Lonchura striata: one gene and its partner. The protein of the gene in region 1 purifies or fractionates together with the protein of each later gene. This does not show direct contact. Links are inferred from orthologs where the notes say so. Each region holds a gene or a part of one and is shown on either strand. Other genes may lie near its edges.

Region 1 (7,050 bases):
GTGAACAGGCTGTTGGATTGCCAGCACTGCCAGGGTGAAGGAGAGAGAATTGTGGGTGTGGAGAAGTGTGGGTGTAGAGATGTTACTCAGTGCAGGGGCGAGGCTGGATAGGAAGAGCCAGAGGCACAGGTGTCAATCAGGATTCTGGTGAGGTGGCTCCTGTCCCCGTGCTGCTCTGGTGTCACCCATGATCTTCTGGGCACACCCTCTCTTGGGGTTATTGGAGTGTGGAGGCGTCTCCCAGAGCTTCTCACCCTCTGGTACCCTCAGGAATTTATCACAAGGTCCTGGAGCTCCATGGATTGACAGCCCTGGCATCTCTAGTGTCATGGTTCCTGTCCAGCAGCAGCGGGAACAAATTTGTGTCCTGGAGGAGGAACAGTGGTCCTGGCACTATCTGACCCACTCCCACTGTACATAATGCTCAGTAGAGACAAGGAAGAAATGAAAGCTTCTGTTTCCCATCTGCTTCTTTAAATATAGGTGCCAACACAATCTCAAACTTCAAGGAGGTGTTCCTGAAATCTGGGAGTTCATGGTGAGGTCAGTCACAGGTCACAAAGCAGCAAAACACAGTCTCTGCCACCATGGGACAGAGAAGGAGGTTAATGTTTCACAGTATCCTTAGCTGAGCAGCATAGCTCTGTCAGTGTTTCACTTGGTAGGAATTATTTATTGACAAGAAGGGTTTTCAGACTGTCCCAAGGAAAATTCTTTGTGAAACTGTATTTTTTTCAAGTTAATCTATTAGGAACATGAGTTGAAAACTGACCCAGGGATGCACACTCCCTGTCAATCAATTACATTTAGGAAAGGAAAGATTAAAAAACTCTTGAGGCAGAGCCAAGCACTTAAAAGGAAGAATTCTCTGCATTGATTCCTGTGGTAAAATGCCAAGACAAGCCTCGTGATTTCCTGGACCAAGTGCAGAGAAATGAAATTAAAAATATGAATAGGCCAAATACTGAGATCCTTATTACAGAAAAGGGCCACTCAAGGGTACCTAAGATCTGGCCTCATCAGGGAGAGAAAATAATTGAGAGAGCTCTGGTTGCAGATCAGCCATAGCTTTGTGCTCAGCATCCTCAGCAACCTTCTTTTTCCTCACCTTCCAGCTTGCTGTTCTCATGCCAATTAAGAAGAAAAAAAAAAAAAAAAAACAAAAAAACAAGGAGCCGAAACTACCTGCTCTATTTTTAATCCTATTTGTCAGTAGATAAACTGCATGCTAGATGATTAATAGATCTTTATCACTTCATAAAGTTTAGACTACAAAAAGCCTACCCCTCTCTTTTGACTGTTAAATAACTAAGTAAGCTTTGCTGCTGTTACTTGGGATCTAAATTAGTCACAGCACTTCGGAGAGCATTTGTTAATATCTCAAGTGGACCACGTGGCCCTGGCAGAGCCAGAGGGGAGTTTGTCCCCTTGTGTGGCCCTGGAAAAGCTCAACTGCCCGCTTTCAACTAGGAAGACCAAGCCATGGAGGCTTGGTTAAGGAAAAATTGGGCACAGATGTAGGCTGTGTTGACCCTGCCAGGGCTGCACTCAGCCATTTGCATCTTTAACACATGCTAATTCAATTAGAATTTGCATCTGCTGAGGGTTTGGGGATTGTGGTGTCAGCATGGCTCTTCACATTGACCCCTCTGTTCCCAGGGCAAGCATGAATTTGCCTTTGTTTAGTTTTCCCCTTTTAAATAAGAGCATAGGCTGGAATTGTGGGGCATTTGAGCAGGCATTAGACAAAGCCTGAAAAAACTTAACCTCAAATGTACGCATCACCAGAGGCTATAGCCTCTTCTGAATCAAGACCATGGGTTTGGATTAAACTGACAACTTCTGTCACTGAAAGAAGAGAAAATCTGAGCCTGGCCTTCTGCATCTCCTCAAACACAGCACACTGATCTGGTAGCCACCAAGTCCAGATGGAAATTGATGGTTGCCTATAAAGACAGTTGTAAAAACTGTTGCAATCTGCTGTTTTATGGAAGCTATTAAATCTGTCAGCTGGCCCAATCTGTACCTGAAAATGTTTATCTTCCATGACACATTTGCCTTCAATTAGCTATTCAGTGGTTGCAAAGAATTTTTTTGCCTTTGTCCATGTTTTTTTTTTTCTTCTGAATTAAAGTGAAACAGCAGCGTAGGTGCATTAGGTGGTTAATTCCAGCCTCATGTATCTGTCCTACCCATGAAGCAGGAGCAGTGGTGGAGCTGGAGGGAGGGCTCTGCCAGGGATTAAACCAGTATGGGTGGTCTCTTCCTCCAGCACTTCCAAAATCCAAGAAGGAAGAACCAAATCCCTGCAAGCTAATGTGTAATTACTAAAGCAGAGAAGAGGTATCGTCCTGCAGACCCTTGCCATCTACTTTTTGAAAGCAGCCTAAATCAATATGCTGCAGTCCTACAACATGTCCAGGGGCCTGATTCACTTTCATGATAAACCTTTGGAGCAAGTCATGAGGACCAGTTTTAAATGTTACTTTGCTGGGATACTGACAATGGATATGGAGATGATCTGATGAGTGGTGTTTTCTGCAGTGCATTAATAACAAATAATTTTGTACAGGATACAGTAAATGAAGTCTTCCTAACAGTCAGCTAAAAATACCAATGTTAACTCAGGTTGTTTGCAAACTTGTTCATAAAGGATTAAGCTAACAAAGTGAAAGGAGGGAGGAACATCTTTGCTTGGATAGGAAAAAATAGAAAATTTCTGAGGAAGAATTTGGTGTGCTGAGAACTGATGTTACAGCATGAGTTTGGCATCTCCTAATGTTGTACTTTGTGTACCTTGTATTTTCATGCCAAGCACTAAACCAAATGCTTTTCTGTGGATTTGTTCTGTTACGAACTATTTTTTATTTAGCCTCACGGCCATTTCTGTGAGTCCATATCTGCTCCTGGTTAAATGGTTGCTTATTACCTTTTTAGAGTTATACAGCCAACAAAGCAATGCTCAGCCAGGGCTATCACAGTAACACTTCTGCTAACAAAGAGGAGGGAGTTGTACAGTGTTCAAAAGAAAATCCCAGCCTCCCAAAACCCAGCATGTGAGAGGTGGCTTTATATTGAATTGTTGGATAAAGTTGTGCAACCCTATATGCAACCAAGTGTAGTCAGGCTGCCTCTCCTGCCAGGGATGCCACCCACATCTGTCTGGTTATGCCTACATCAGCTGTTTCCTCAGCCCTGCACCTCGGGCTGAGCCTGCTGTTGCTGGGTGCTGCTGCTCCACCTCCAGCACTCCCCAAGGCTCTGCTCCTCACAATCCTCACAGCCCCCCAGCCATCCCTGCATCCCTGCTCCTCACAATCCTCACAGCCCCCCAGCCATCCCTGCTCCTCACAGCCCCCCAGCCATCCCTGCATCCCTGCTCCTCCTCTCTCCCCTGAGCTGCCCAGCCAGAGGCCCCCATGGGCCCAGGCACTGCAGCCAGCCTGCAGGTGAGGTAGCCCTCATACAGAAATGGTTTTATAAATGTGTCTTTAGGTAACGGGCAGCAGTTCAGCAATTCCCTGTGAGGGACTGCCAGGCCAGACTCCTGCAGGCAGCTCCTTGGAGGAAGTGTAGAGGCTTGCTGGAAATACACTGAAATCCAAGAAGCACCACGTGCAGACCTGGTTGCTACATCAATTTGTTCATTAGGCAATGGCTGCTCCTGAGACTATAAACAGAATTTCACTTGCTGCAATAAAAGCAGGATAATTTCTAGACTTCTTCAGGGACCAGTTTGTCCACTTTTATTCATGAGGTAGTGAAAACAAACCTTCCCACTCTGCAGCTCTTAATGCTCTTTCTCTATTGGTGGCCTATTTTCTGCTTGAGGACAGGGAGGGACCATTGAGTCACACACAATCTCATGCCCTCTTCTTCCTCCTCCTCCTCTCATTTAAATATTAATATGATGAATTATTACTAGAGTAACAGCTGTGCACTACTCATATCACAGCAACATAACCTTCCCCTCCTCATTGGAGCACAGCTATTCCTGACTCGTGTTTTCTGGTTGACCTTCTCACTTCTTCTGGATGACTCTTTAAAAATCACTTTGTTAGTTCTGGTGTGGTATCTTTACGATAATTGCTTGTTCTGTTCTTTCTACTAAATATTAATGATACTGAGGAATTCAAAAGATAGCTGCAGTAATGGTAAGTTAAATGTCTGTGTGTATTCTCCCATGAGATCTGTTTTTTAGAGAGAAAGAAGTGTAAAGATGAATCTTTCTAACTAACACTTAGAAACATCTCTTTCTCTTTGAGAATTGCCAAAATAATATATTTATTATATATATATATATATATATATATATATATATATTGTCTTTTATAGAAATAAAATAATTTCATATTAATCAGCTAGTGTCTCTAGATAATTCATAGAAATAGCTAACATTGTCCCTAGAAGCCCTAATACATTGCGTTCTCTGTAGATAAGGTATTTTAAGAAAGACTGCTAATAAAACCATGAGACAACTCTGTGTAGACTGCTGAAAAGAAATGTTTGGCATAGAAAAAGAAGGGGAGAGAAAGATAAAACACCACCAGTTAGCTCAATGCAATTGGAAATACCAAAAAAGCATTCCTGGGCAGATTTGGAAATGTTAGCAGATGTTAAGTTTTGTGGGAAAAACTGCTGAGTACCTTTTTGCACGGGTCTTGTGTTTGTGTATGTGTGGTTTACAGACACACAGGTTTTCTCCTCCATTGAAATTGTGGCTCCTTGGGGTACTCTGATGTTGCAGAAGGGTTTGTTGGTTTCTGCACCACTGTTGTGGAGAATGTAATGCCAGCAGGAGTGTAGAAATCAGATTTACTGGACTGGCTTGTATTTAGCTTGGGATGAAACTCTTTGCTGTTGTTGCTTACGGAAAAAAAATCTGAAATGCTCTTAAAAATTCTTAAAAATTACATGTCTATATTTTCATTTGAAAGGTTTAATTTTAAAATTTTGTTTTAGTACATCATTGTTCTTAAAGCCAAACAAAATACTTTCAATTTTAATAAAATATTGTTTTATTGCTTTACTGGGGAGGGGGATGTTGTTACAAGCTCTTAAATATAATAGGAAACCTAAATATCAGTCCAAATTTATAAATTATGCCTTTCTTTTCCCACCCGTGATGAAATCAGTAGAAACTTTTTTTCCCCAATCAGCCTTACCAGTGACAAGAGAAAGGGAGGCAGGAGAGCTCTGCTGCCAGAGAACTCTGCCCATTCACAACCAGTGGCCAACCTGTGCCTGTCTAGGGGCTGGGGAAAAGAAATAATGAAAAGAGGGTACTGCAAACTGTTTCTAAATCACTGGCTGCTCTGATACAACCCCAAAAGTAGTGCTGTAACTTCTGAATATTTTCTCTACTGCTTTTTTCCTGAACAAGTACTTAGTGTGAACAAAGAGCCTCATCTCGACTGTTTACAATTCCTACTGCAGTCAACAAAAGTAAAACCATGAATTGAGACATGCTCAGTACCACCTATATACATATATATTTTTGGGTTTTTTCCCTTTGTGTTCTGTACCTCCTAAAGTTTGTTAAAGTTAGAAAAACTTTTGTTCACTCAGTTTACCATCCCCATCAGGGATGTCTTAATTCTCATGCATGTTACTGTACTGCAAATTATTTGGCAAAAACGCTGCTTTTATAAAAAGCCTTGACAAACTCGCAGCATATGCCCCGGATAAAATCTCCTTTCAAACAGTTCCCTCAGATGATTATCTGCAGTGATTGCAAATGAACCTTGTAGCAAGCTCATAACAAGTGTCCTCGTGGACGGAAGAGAAACCTGCTGTCAGAACTACAAATAATTGACGTAACCCAATTTAAAGCTCTAACAAAATGTTCCCTGTTAAGAGGATTGTTATACTTAACGTGTGAGATGAAAATGCTTTCTGAAGGTCAGGAATGCACAGAAGATAGATTAGATCTCTTGAAAACACAAAAAAAAATAGGTTTATACCAGAAGTTTTTCTTCTGTCAGACTTTCAACTTGGCATTCTCAGAAACTTACATAAGTGCAGATTTACTCCTGCAAATGCTGTGTTTGCTCTGAAGAGGGAGAGGAGCCTCAGAGCTTCAAGAAAAATACAAGTGAAGGTAGACTGGAGACTCAGGTTATTTTCTGTACATTTACATAGATTCTCAGGTATATTTCACCAGCAGCAGCATAAATAAAAGCTTGTTTTAAACAGCACAAGGGTGGGTTTGGGGAAGTATTTCCTGGATTCTGCCTGCACGGCAGCCAGTATGATGCTGGAGGGCTCCAGACAGTCCGTGCTGCTGCTGCAGGTGAGCCAGTCCCTCCTGCAGCAGTGCCTGTCCCACAGGTGACAGTGGCGTGGCACTGGGTGGCCTCAGATGTGCTGCAGCATCAACCCCTGCAGCAGGAGGGCTGGGATGAGCTGGCTCCCCTCGAGGGGTCCTGCTTGCCCCTGGCTGCTGCTGAGTGGCAGAGGGGTGGGACAGCCTCTGCTGAGGCTGGGGAGGGGGCTCTGAGATGTACATCCAAGCCAGGCAAGGCACCTGGGCAAGGAGTCCTGCTCTGCTGCTGTTCAGTGGCCTGGTTGCCTCTGCTCGGTTGGGAGTTAATGGAAAACTGTCAAACAGAGCCACAAAACCTGAATTCAGCATGCTGGAAAACAGCTTTACGAGGTCTGGTTTTTCTTAATAGGATTTAGGGGGTGCGGCATGACTCTGAATGCTTTTCACATAGGATACAATGGAAAGAAAATGAAATTACAGCCTCTGTAACCATCAGAAAGCTGGGCTAGAGTTAACATTCTCCTCATCCCCTGCACACAGTCACATGTAGTTTCTGGCCATCTCTCCAACAGCCAAAACCTGAGATTATAGAGAAGTTGATGATGGAGATCATTCAAACACTGAGCCTCTCACCTCCCTCACTGTTGCATTCCCCCAGGTCCCGCTGTTTCTCTGTGTGCCCTGCCTGCCCTGGTGCTGGCTGTCCCACAGCCTGCAGAGCTGCACTGAGCAGCGTGGGCTCTGCACCAGGACACCAGACAAGCAGCAGGCTTTGGCTGGTAAGA
Region 2 (7,978 bases), on another chromosome or scaffold:
ACAATATAATTTAATTTGGACTGATGTGGATTGAAACTTCAAAAAAAAAACTTTACTATTAAGCCCTTTGGTTTTCAGTGTTTAAAGGATCTGAGATAATTATGAAAAAATGACAAGCTAGCACCCAAATTTGATGGATCAAACTCAATAAATTAAAAAAAAAAAAATCAGTGTAAAAACAATTTGCCATTGAAGTCAAAACAGGAAAAAAACCCAGAAGGCGCTGAACTTGTTTAGCATTGCCCAAACAAGAGATGTTTTCTCAGGCACTGCACAGCACTCTTTCTAAAGAGTACTCCTTTAAATGAAAGCACCAAAGCTACCTCATTCATGGACTTGGAAATGCCATAGAAAATACTCTGGGAGCAAAAGAATCAATCATCCAAAACAACAGAATTGCCTGAAAGACATGGAAAATAACTCCAGCTGCTAGAATCATTAAGCAGCATACACTGAAGAAAACAAACGGCAATTCCATGAAAAAGTTATCATAAGTCTGTCACCCAAACCTAACAGTCCAGTTCTAATAATGTCTACAAGAACATGAAATTACTGGCTATAAATTCAACAAACAAGCATCACTTGCTGATATCTCATGGTTCCCAATCAGCAAACAGCCTTAGAAAATTAGAGAAGGAATCACACTGATTCTTTATGTCTTAAAAAAACGCAAAGCAAACCACTGTAAAATTTTTGTGAAACAGTAACTGACAAAACAGATAGACACACTAGTGAAAGCAAAAAGATCATAGCCATTTTAAAAAAAATTCATGTCCAAAATGAGATCAACTTTCTTCCATTGACAGCTAAAAATCTAAAATATTATACCATATATCTTTCAGTCAAGTAACTGCTGAAAAATACTGAAACTGAGAATTTGGTTATAGGGTTTTTTGTGTTTAGAACATCTTGGAACTTACTTTACTTCCCATTCTGACATCCAGCTTTTCATTCCATTCTTTATTGGCTGCCAAACGCAGGTATGCTACCAGGAAAGTAGCACATTATATGGGAGTTTTGAGACTAAAAATATCCTGTCTATCACTACCTGTACTGCTAGGATTTTACATGCAGCAATGAGCAAGACCAGCCTGTTCATCAGTCAGGCCTCAAAAGATCCCGATATGTGAAATGCACAGCTGTTCCAAAGTAATAAATCCTTCTGATTTGGTTTCTTGTGTCACCCTGATTCTTAAGATTTTCTAAAGCCTTCTGAGTTTACATTCTGTTAGAAAACTTTCCCACACATTTTCTATAAACAACATATTGTTTTGCATTCCTTCGTGGGAGTGGAGGAAGTTGATGTACTGGTGGTTTGTTCAATGTCTTTGGAGAGGTGGCCCATTCACTCTCCAATCCACTGTCACCTTTGGAAAAGTATAAAAGTTGGAGTCAGAAAAATAAACCCTCTTCTTTTTTACCTTGTCATCGTAGTGGCTCGTGTTGTGCTTTCTTGTGTCCTATAGCGACATTCTTGGTCTCTTTTTATATGAGAAATAGGTAGTTTTCAGCATAACTTTTACCAAGCTATTATATTTAAAAGCACTGTTACAGCAGTCATTGTTACAAGTTCCTACACCAGCCCTTTCTGCAGAGCATAAAGCATTTGCCTAAGTTCTAGAAACCCTCATATACGAAAACCTCATTGCCAAGTTCCTTGTGGCAGATTCTCCACCTTTAAAAGAACATTTTATGTTCGGAAGAATACCTAGAAACACCTGCCAAACAAAAATAAAAGCCTAAGCAAAAAATCATTAAGAATGTATTTCTAAGCTGCTTCAGTATGACAGCTAATTTGTAGTGATAGAAACTGGGCCACATAAGATGGCTTTGACTTCCCATCTCTCCTGTTTTATTTTTGGAATAACAAAGAACAGCCACAAAATGAAACTTTATTCCAAAAAGTCTTATCTTGTCATCTGTTTCTCTTAGGGTTGGTATCTCCATTCTCTGAAATTATGTAGTAGGACACTGCACTCAGCAATGCAGTGGAATACAGAATGTAATTTTCACAATACCCTAAGACAGACTTGAGATAGACAAGTGTATCAGGCTCAGTACCTAAAAAGGATTGCTTGCCCCACCTTTGTTCCTGCACTTATAATGGCTCAGGTCCAACAGTGAGTGAGCGTTCTTCACTCAAGAGGCAGAAAACTCAACATAAAAGTATAAGCTAATAGTTCTCTGTTCAAGAAAGAACTGGACTCTAAACAGCCTTCACAATTTACTGCTGTTAGGAGAAAAGGGGAAAGTCACAGGAAGGCATCATGCTCTTTTCTTGGCAGTGGTATAGTAGAAGGGCCATTGGACATTTACACTATACCTGTCAATTTTCAGTTATTAACACGAATACAGCAACACACCACTTATTATCATTTAGAAAATACTTCTACTCCCTTGAGAAGACTTTTTATTAGAAATATAATCTCCTAAAGTTTTTAAGGTTCATTTGAAATGGTCTCAATTATATGAAAGTTTATGCAGTAACCTAATAACCCCAACTGTACAAATACCACCCTCTTGAGTTAGAGTTACACATAGCATTAAAGACTTTCATTATACAAGGTCAGGAAAAACTACATTATAGAACCTTTGTTATTTATCAAAGCCTATCTTTTAAGCTCTAAGACCAGGTAGGTCTTAATCAGGATTTTTTGGTCCAGCTTTCTGCCCTCTGGCAATCAGACTCAGTTTACTGAACACTCAGGCTCCCCATCTTCTGAGGGATTTCCCTTTGCAACAAAGGACATTGCCCTGAAATAATCAGCTGCTCTTTGAGAACTTAAGCACCCTTCCATCAAACTGAGTAAGGCAGTAAAGTGATTCTTCTGGTATCCTGCATGGGTGGTGAAAAGCCGTTGCTATGAGCTCGGCCTGCATCCAGATAATGTCAAGCATTACATTATTTCAAAAGCATCAAATAATGCCCAAAGCATGCCACGTAAAATTGCAGAACCTGGATGACAGGGTCATCCCAATGGGGACAAAAATCTCAAGTTGTATAACTATATAAGAGAAATAGGTAAAGCATTAGATTTGACAGCTTTGAGAGTAACGATGATGTTTATCCTACAGTGAATTCCTAACACTGCTAGTAATGATGTGGAAAATGCTGTACAGCTTAAAGGAGTTAAAATTGCACATCACTGAGAAATAAAGAGGTTCTTTGAGAAACACCACAAAACTTGAGTTATATCGCCCTGTATTGGGGCTGTTTGTGCATCACCATATCGATTTCTACATGAGAGGCACCCCGAGATGCATGAGATCAAAACTACCTTGGCATTGTATGGAAAGAAAATTCTTGTGTCCAAGAATGTAAAGGGGAAAGGCTCACCAGAAATTCAGGTTATGAATTTATTTAACACATATAATGGATCCAGTGTAAGGAGATCCAGTCAGAAAAAAAAATGAAAATAAGTTGTATGAAGAGAATACATGCATCCAATGTATCCATTAGATACAGTCAGCTCTAATAGGCTCACACACAGTTAAACAACCCTGATATTAGTCATTCTAACTGTTCTGCGATAACTGTTAACTGCAAGTGTCAAGTAGCATTACCATGTCCATTTCATCTACAGGAGAAGTAGATAGAAATTATTCCTTAAAGTTCTATCTTGTGGAACAGAAGAGATCTATCGCTAATATAAGGAACTGATGCTCCTTTGAGATGGAAGTAAAAAAAGATTTGCTGAGAATCAAGTAGCTATTTGAAAATGTTTCTATTGTTTCTTTCTTCTTTTTTGCAATGTTGTTTTTTATGGCACAGGAAACATCCCAACATGCCATATTGGGGTACTGTGCTCAGAACACAACTTTTCACACCAGTAGGTTCACATACCCACAAACTATCCACTGGCTTTCTTCAGAATTTGGACATTTGCCTTTGCCCAGTCAGTGACAGTGTGAAGGCTGGTAAGCCTAGGTGTCACGGCTGACAGATTCAGGTGCTCTCTGTCAGGCTATACACCACGCTTCTTGGACAAAGTGTCAGGTATGAAAACACTCAATGATATGGGAAACAACCACTCTCATTAGAGTCCATTTGTACACTCATCTTTACCACGAAAACCGCACCCGAAGCAGCAGCGGTCCTGCCCGAGGAGCGTTACGGTGACACGAGCGCGTGTCACAGCGCCTGTGATCGGGGGTGGGGACAACCAGCCCAACTTCCCCGCTGCGCGCTCGTCCCAGCCCGGCCCGGGCGCTCCTCGGTCCCGGGCGGCGGCTGGGGCAGCCCGGCCTCGCCCCGCGCCCGTGCCGCTCACCTCGGAGGCGCCTCTGGTATCGCTCCAGGGACTCCTCCAGGGCGCGCTCCCCGCGGGGCGCCCGCATCAGGACGCCGCTGGCTGCCGGGCAGCAGCCGGCGCTGTCTCCCAGCACCGGGGGCTCCCCGCGGGGAGGCTGCGGGACAGTAGTTCCACCCGTTCTACCTTCCCACGTTGAGCTCTCGGAGGAGACATCTGCGGGGGTCCCTCCGGCTCCTGGTGGCCAACCGTTGCCGTCGGCCGCCGCAGCTGAAACTAGCAACGCCAGGAATCCGTCGCGCTTCCCGATGGCGGGAATGCCTCCGCCAGGACTACAAGTCCCGGCATGCACCGCGCCGCCGGCGGCAGAGTTCCCGCCCACCGCCCACCACCGGCAACCGGGAAAGGGTGGTCGCCGCGAGCCGTATCCCCTTTGTTGTGGATCGCGGTCGCAGTCGCGCCTGCGCACAGCACAGCCCGCCCGCCTACGCCCTCAGGCCTGCAGCGAGCTCAGCACCGGTCCCGGCACGGCAGGGGCGGATCGGGGCGGGAAGCGCCGTTTACCTCCCGCCATCGCCCGCGCGGGGAGCGCCCGCAGCTCGGGGAACGCTATTGTCTGCGGGCCGCGCAGGCGCAGCGCGGCCCCGCCGGCCGCTCGGCCCCGGCGCGTGCGCAGTGCGGCGCGGTGCCGCGCCGCTGTGCCGTTAGCCGCCGCTATGTGCAGGGAATAACGCCGGGGCCGTTGCCAGAGGGACACCGAGCGCTCCGCCCTCGCTTCGCATCCCGCGGGATGCCGGCTCGCTGAGCACCCGCTAGCGACGGCCCCTCCCCGGCGCGCGAGCCTCCTCGGAGGGGTGAGTGAGGATGATGCTGCCGCCGCCGCCCTGCGGGTCGGGCGGGAGCCGCGGCGGGGAGAGGGGCTACGGTCGCGCCGCGGTCCGTCCGGTGCCTATTGTGTCAGGAGGTACCGCCCGCCGGGACCCGGGCGGGCTGCGGCCGGCGGAGGGGGAGGTAACACGGTCTGTGCGCAGCTCGCTCCCCCTCCCCTGTCCCCGCCCGGCCCGCAGGTTACTCCGCGCCCCCGCCTCCCTTTCCCCTCGTCAGCGCGGGGGGATCGCCGGTGGCGGGGGGTCATCGCCTCGGGCGGGACGCGGACGGCATCCCACGTCTGGCATTTGGTGCTGCTGGATCCCGCTGCCCGCGTCTCCCTGCCCCTTTCCGCCCGCGGGGCGCCTCGGCACACCCACCCACCCAGCCCCGGGGCTGCGCAGCCCCCCCTCCCGCGGGTGGATTTCCGCGATTCCAGCGGAGACGTTTCCAGAGGTTTAATTTTTTTTGGGGGGTGACCTTCTTTCGCTCCCTCCCCGGGGCTGGAGGCAGCGTGTTTCTCCGGATTTAAAAATCAGTGACGTCCTTCGTCTGGGATGCGGCGTTTCCCTTCGTCTCCTTGAAATAATGTCTTCTGTGAAAGGATGATGGAGAAAAACTGTGGGTTTCACCTTTTCTCATATTGCGTATTTCCACCATACGAGTCGGGTCCCCTGCTTCCGAAAATATCCTCCCGAAGGCGTGAGCTTTTCCTTTTTCGAGGCGCTTCCCGGGAAAAACATGAAATCGAGGTTTTTGTCCCAGTGGCGAGGAGCAGCCCGGGCCCACTTTGTGTGCCCGCCGTGGAGACGAACGGGTTACTGCGCTAACAAAAACCCGATGGCGATTTTCGAGCAGAAAGCGGCGTCGCAGCGGAGGAAGCGGGCGGGAGGGGCGGGGACGCTCCGCGGGCAGCGGGGCCGTCCGCGCCGGGAGCCGGGCGGGCACGGCGAGCGCTGCTCCCGGCGCGGGCGGCCGCGTTCTGAGCGCTTTTTCAGCATAAGCCGACAATTAGCCCACCAATGCTCGCGGCTTGGTGGGAAAAAAAGAGACGTAGATGGTATGCTGATGAGTTGTGTGTACATAAGGATTGCTTTATTGTGACAAGGGATTAGATAGCATCCGCTGATCTGCACTTGGAGGAAATTATTTTCTTCCCTGTGAAAGCAAAGGTACTCATAAAATATTTAAGTACTTTGAAAGAATAAAGCCTGCTCTGGCGCTGCAATGATCATCTTTTCTCCTTTGGAATGCCATTCAAGGCTTTGTGACAGCGTTCTTGGCCCTGGGCTTGTGTCTGCAAAATGATATGTGGGATGGGACAGTTTTTGTAAACTGAACGGAGACGACTGCATATGCTGTGATTTCCTATGATTAATTTCCTCTGGGAATTACTTTATGTCCAGATGCTGAGAAGTCTGTCTTGCTGAACTCTACTGATATGGAAGCTCCTCAACTTTAAATTTGATTTAACGGGGAAAAAGTTAAACAGAAACACTGCAAAGAATCTCCCTTCACTCTTAGATTATCATTTTTTTTAAACACTTTTTCACCTTCATGTAAGTGTTCTGTTTTTGTTGGCTTTTTTTTTCCTTTGTCTGGTGGAGGTTAGGAAGGCTGGCTGAATAGAGATAGTAGTGCAGCTCGGATACAAAGAATTTGTCAAAATCTCAAGAATCTTGAAGTTACTTGAAATGGATCAGATTAAAATGCTTTCTTTAATTCTTTTGAAGACAAACCATCTGATTTATAAGTTGTTACTGTTATAAATGAGAATTTATTCAGCCAGATTAAAAATAAAAATAATTTTATAAGTGGTCGAATTCTATCTAGCCAGCCACAGAAAAAGACAGTGCTGAGCCCAGGGTTGGCCCTGGGTGTGCAACAAGGAGTCAGCCTCAGCAGAGGTTTTTCCCTATGCCCACACACCTCCATCCTGGCACAAGCGGTTTTTATAGGGAAAATTCTGCCTGAGGCCAAGATTTCAGCAATCAGTCTTTTCTTCTATTCAGAGTCCATAGGTTAATAAGATTTTACTTTTTTGGTGATGAGGAGGAGTAATTCAGTGTCCAGAGTAGGTGAATCCCTGATAAGATTTACGGGAAGGCTGTATTCACATGTATCTGTCTGAGGATTTCCATGATATCCATCTCGGGTCGCTTATGCGATGATCAGTACCCGATGATCAACACCTGGAGTCCCGATGGTCAGCACCTGGAGTCCAGACATGGCCCATCTCCTGGCGAGCCACGTCCTTTTACTTGTAAATCAGTTTCCAATATACACCCAGTCTCGCCTGCAAAGGGGGGGGGGGACGGGACAGGGGGACTAATACAAACAGGCATAATCTAACAAGTATCCAATATTACATATTTCATACAAGGAATGGTGCGAATTATATTTACTACACATAACATTACCAAACTTTGGCATGACAGTGCATTGTTTGGGGAGTGGTTTTGACATATGGCTATTTCCCATATCTAGTCTAACTCTTGAAAAAAAAAAAAAAAGGTTATTTCTATATTGACTTTCATCTGCTGTAATGGACTTGACAAGCAAAATTTCTTAAAAATTCTGTTGATAACATACAAGCCAGAAAAGCTCCAGCTTATGAAAATGAACTGGAAAAGTCTATGTTCGGTTGTAGTTGTTCCTCAAATGCCTGGAATGAAACCCAAGGCATGAGTAGTTGCAAAAATTGATTTTGCTGTACAGTTTCCAGTTCTTGGCATTGCAGGGAGAAGGTATACCATAGTATCTTCTTGATTCTCTTAACAGGGCAGTTTCCATGTTAGCACTGCTTTTCTTAGCTTTGAAGGAAGAATGGAACTGAGATACAACAAATTGTTTTTATTTTA

The links.
Region 2: the proteins of MAPK6 (region 1) and CEP170 purify together in Homo sapiens (affinity purification with mass spectrometry; 3 studies listed by BioGRID and IntAct, with this or other methods). This does not show direct contact. The link is inferred for Lonchura striata from reciprocal best matches to the Homo sapiens genes MAPK6 and CEP170.

What each region holds. Positions count from the first base shown.
Region 1 is NC_134613.1:12,692,938-12,699,987, reverse strand, and holds the start of MAPK6 (mitogen-activated protein kinase 6), read left to right. Parts: upstream 1-3,991; 5' UTR 3,992-4,154; intron 4,155-7,050. UniProt on the Homo sapiens protein: Atypical MAPK protein. Phosphorylates microtubule-associated protein 2 (MAP2) and MAPKAPK5.
Region 2 is NC_134605.1:31,172,575-31,180,552, reverse strand, and holds the start of CEP170 (centrosomal protein of 170 kDa), read left to right. Parts: upstream 1-4,909; 5' UTR 4,910-5,104; intron 5,105-5,749; coding exon of another isoform or gene 5,750-5,777; exon of another isoform or gene 5,778-6,066; intron 6,067-7,978. Other genes in the region: SDCCAG8 (serologically defined colon cancer antigen 8), read right to left, coding at 4,272-4,338.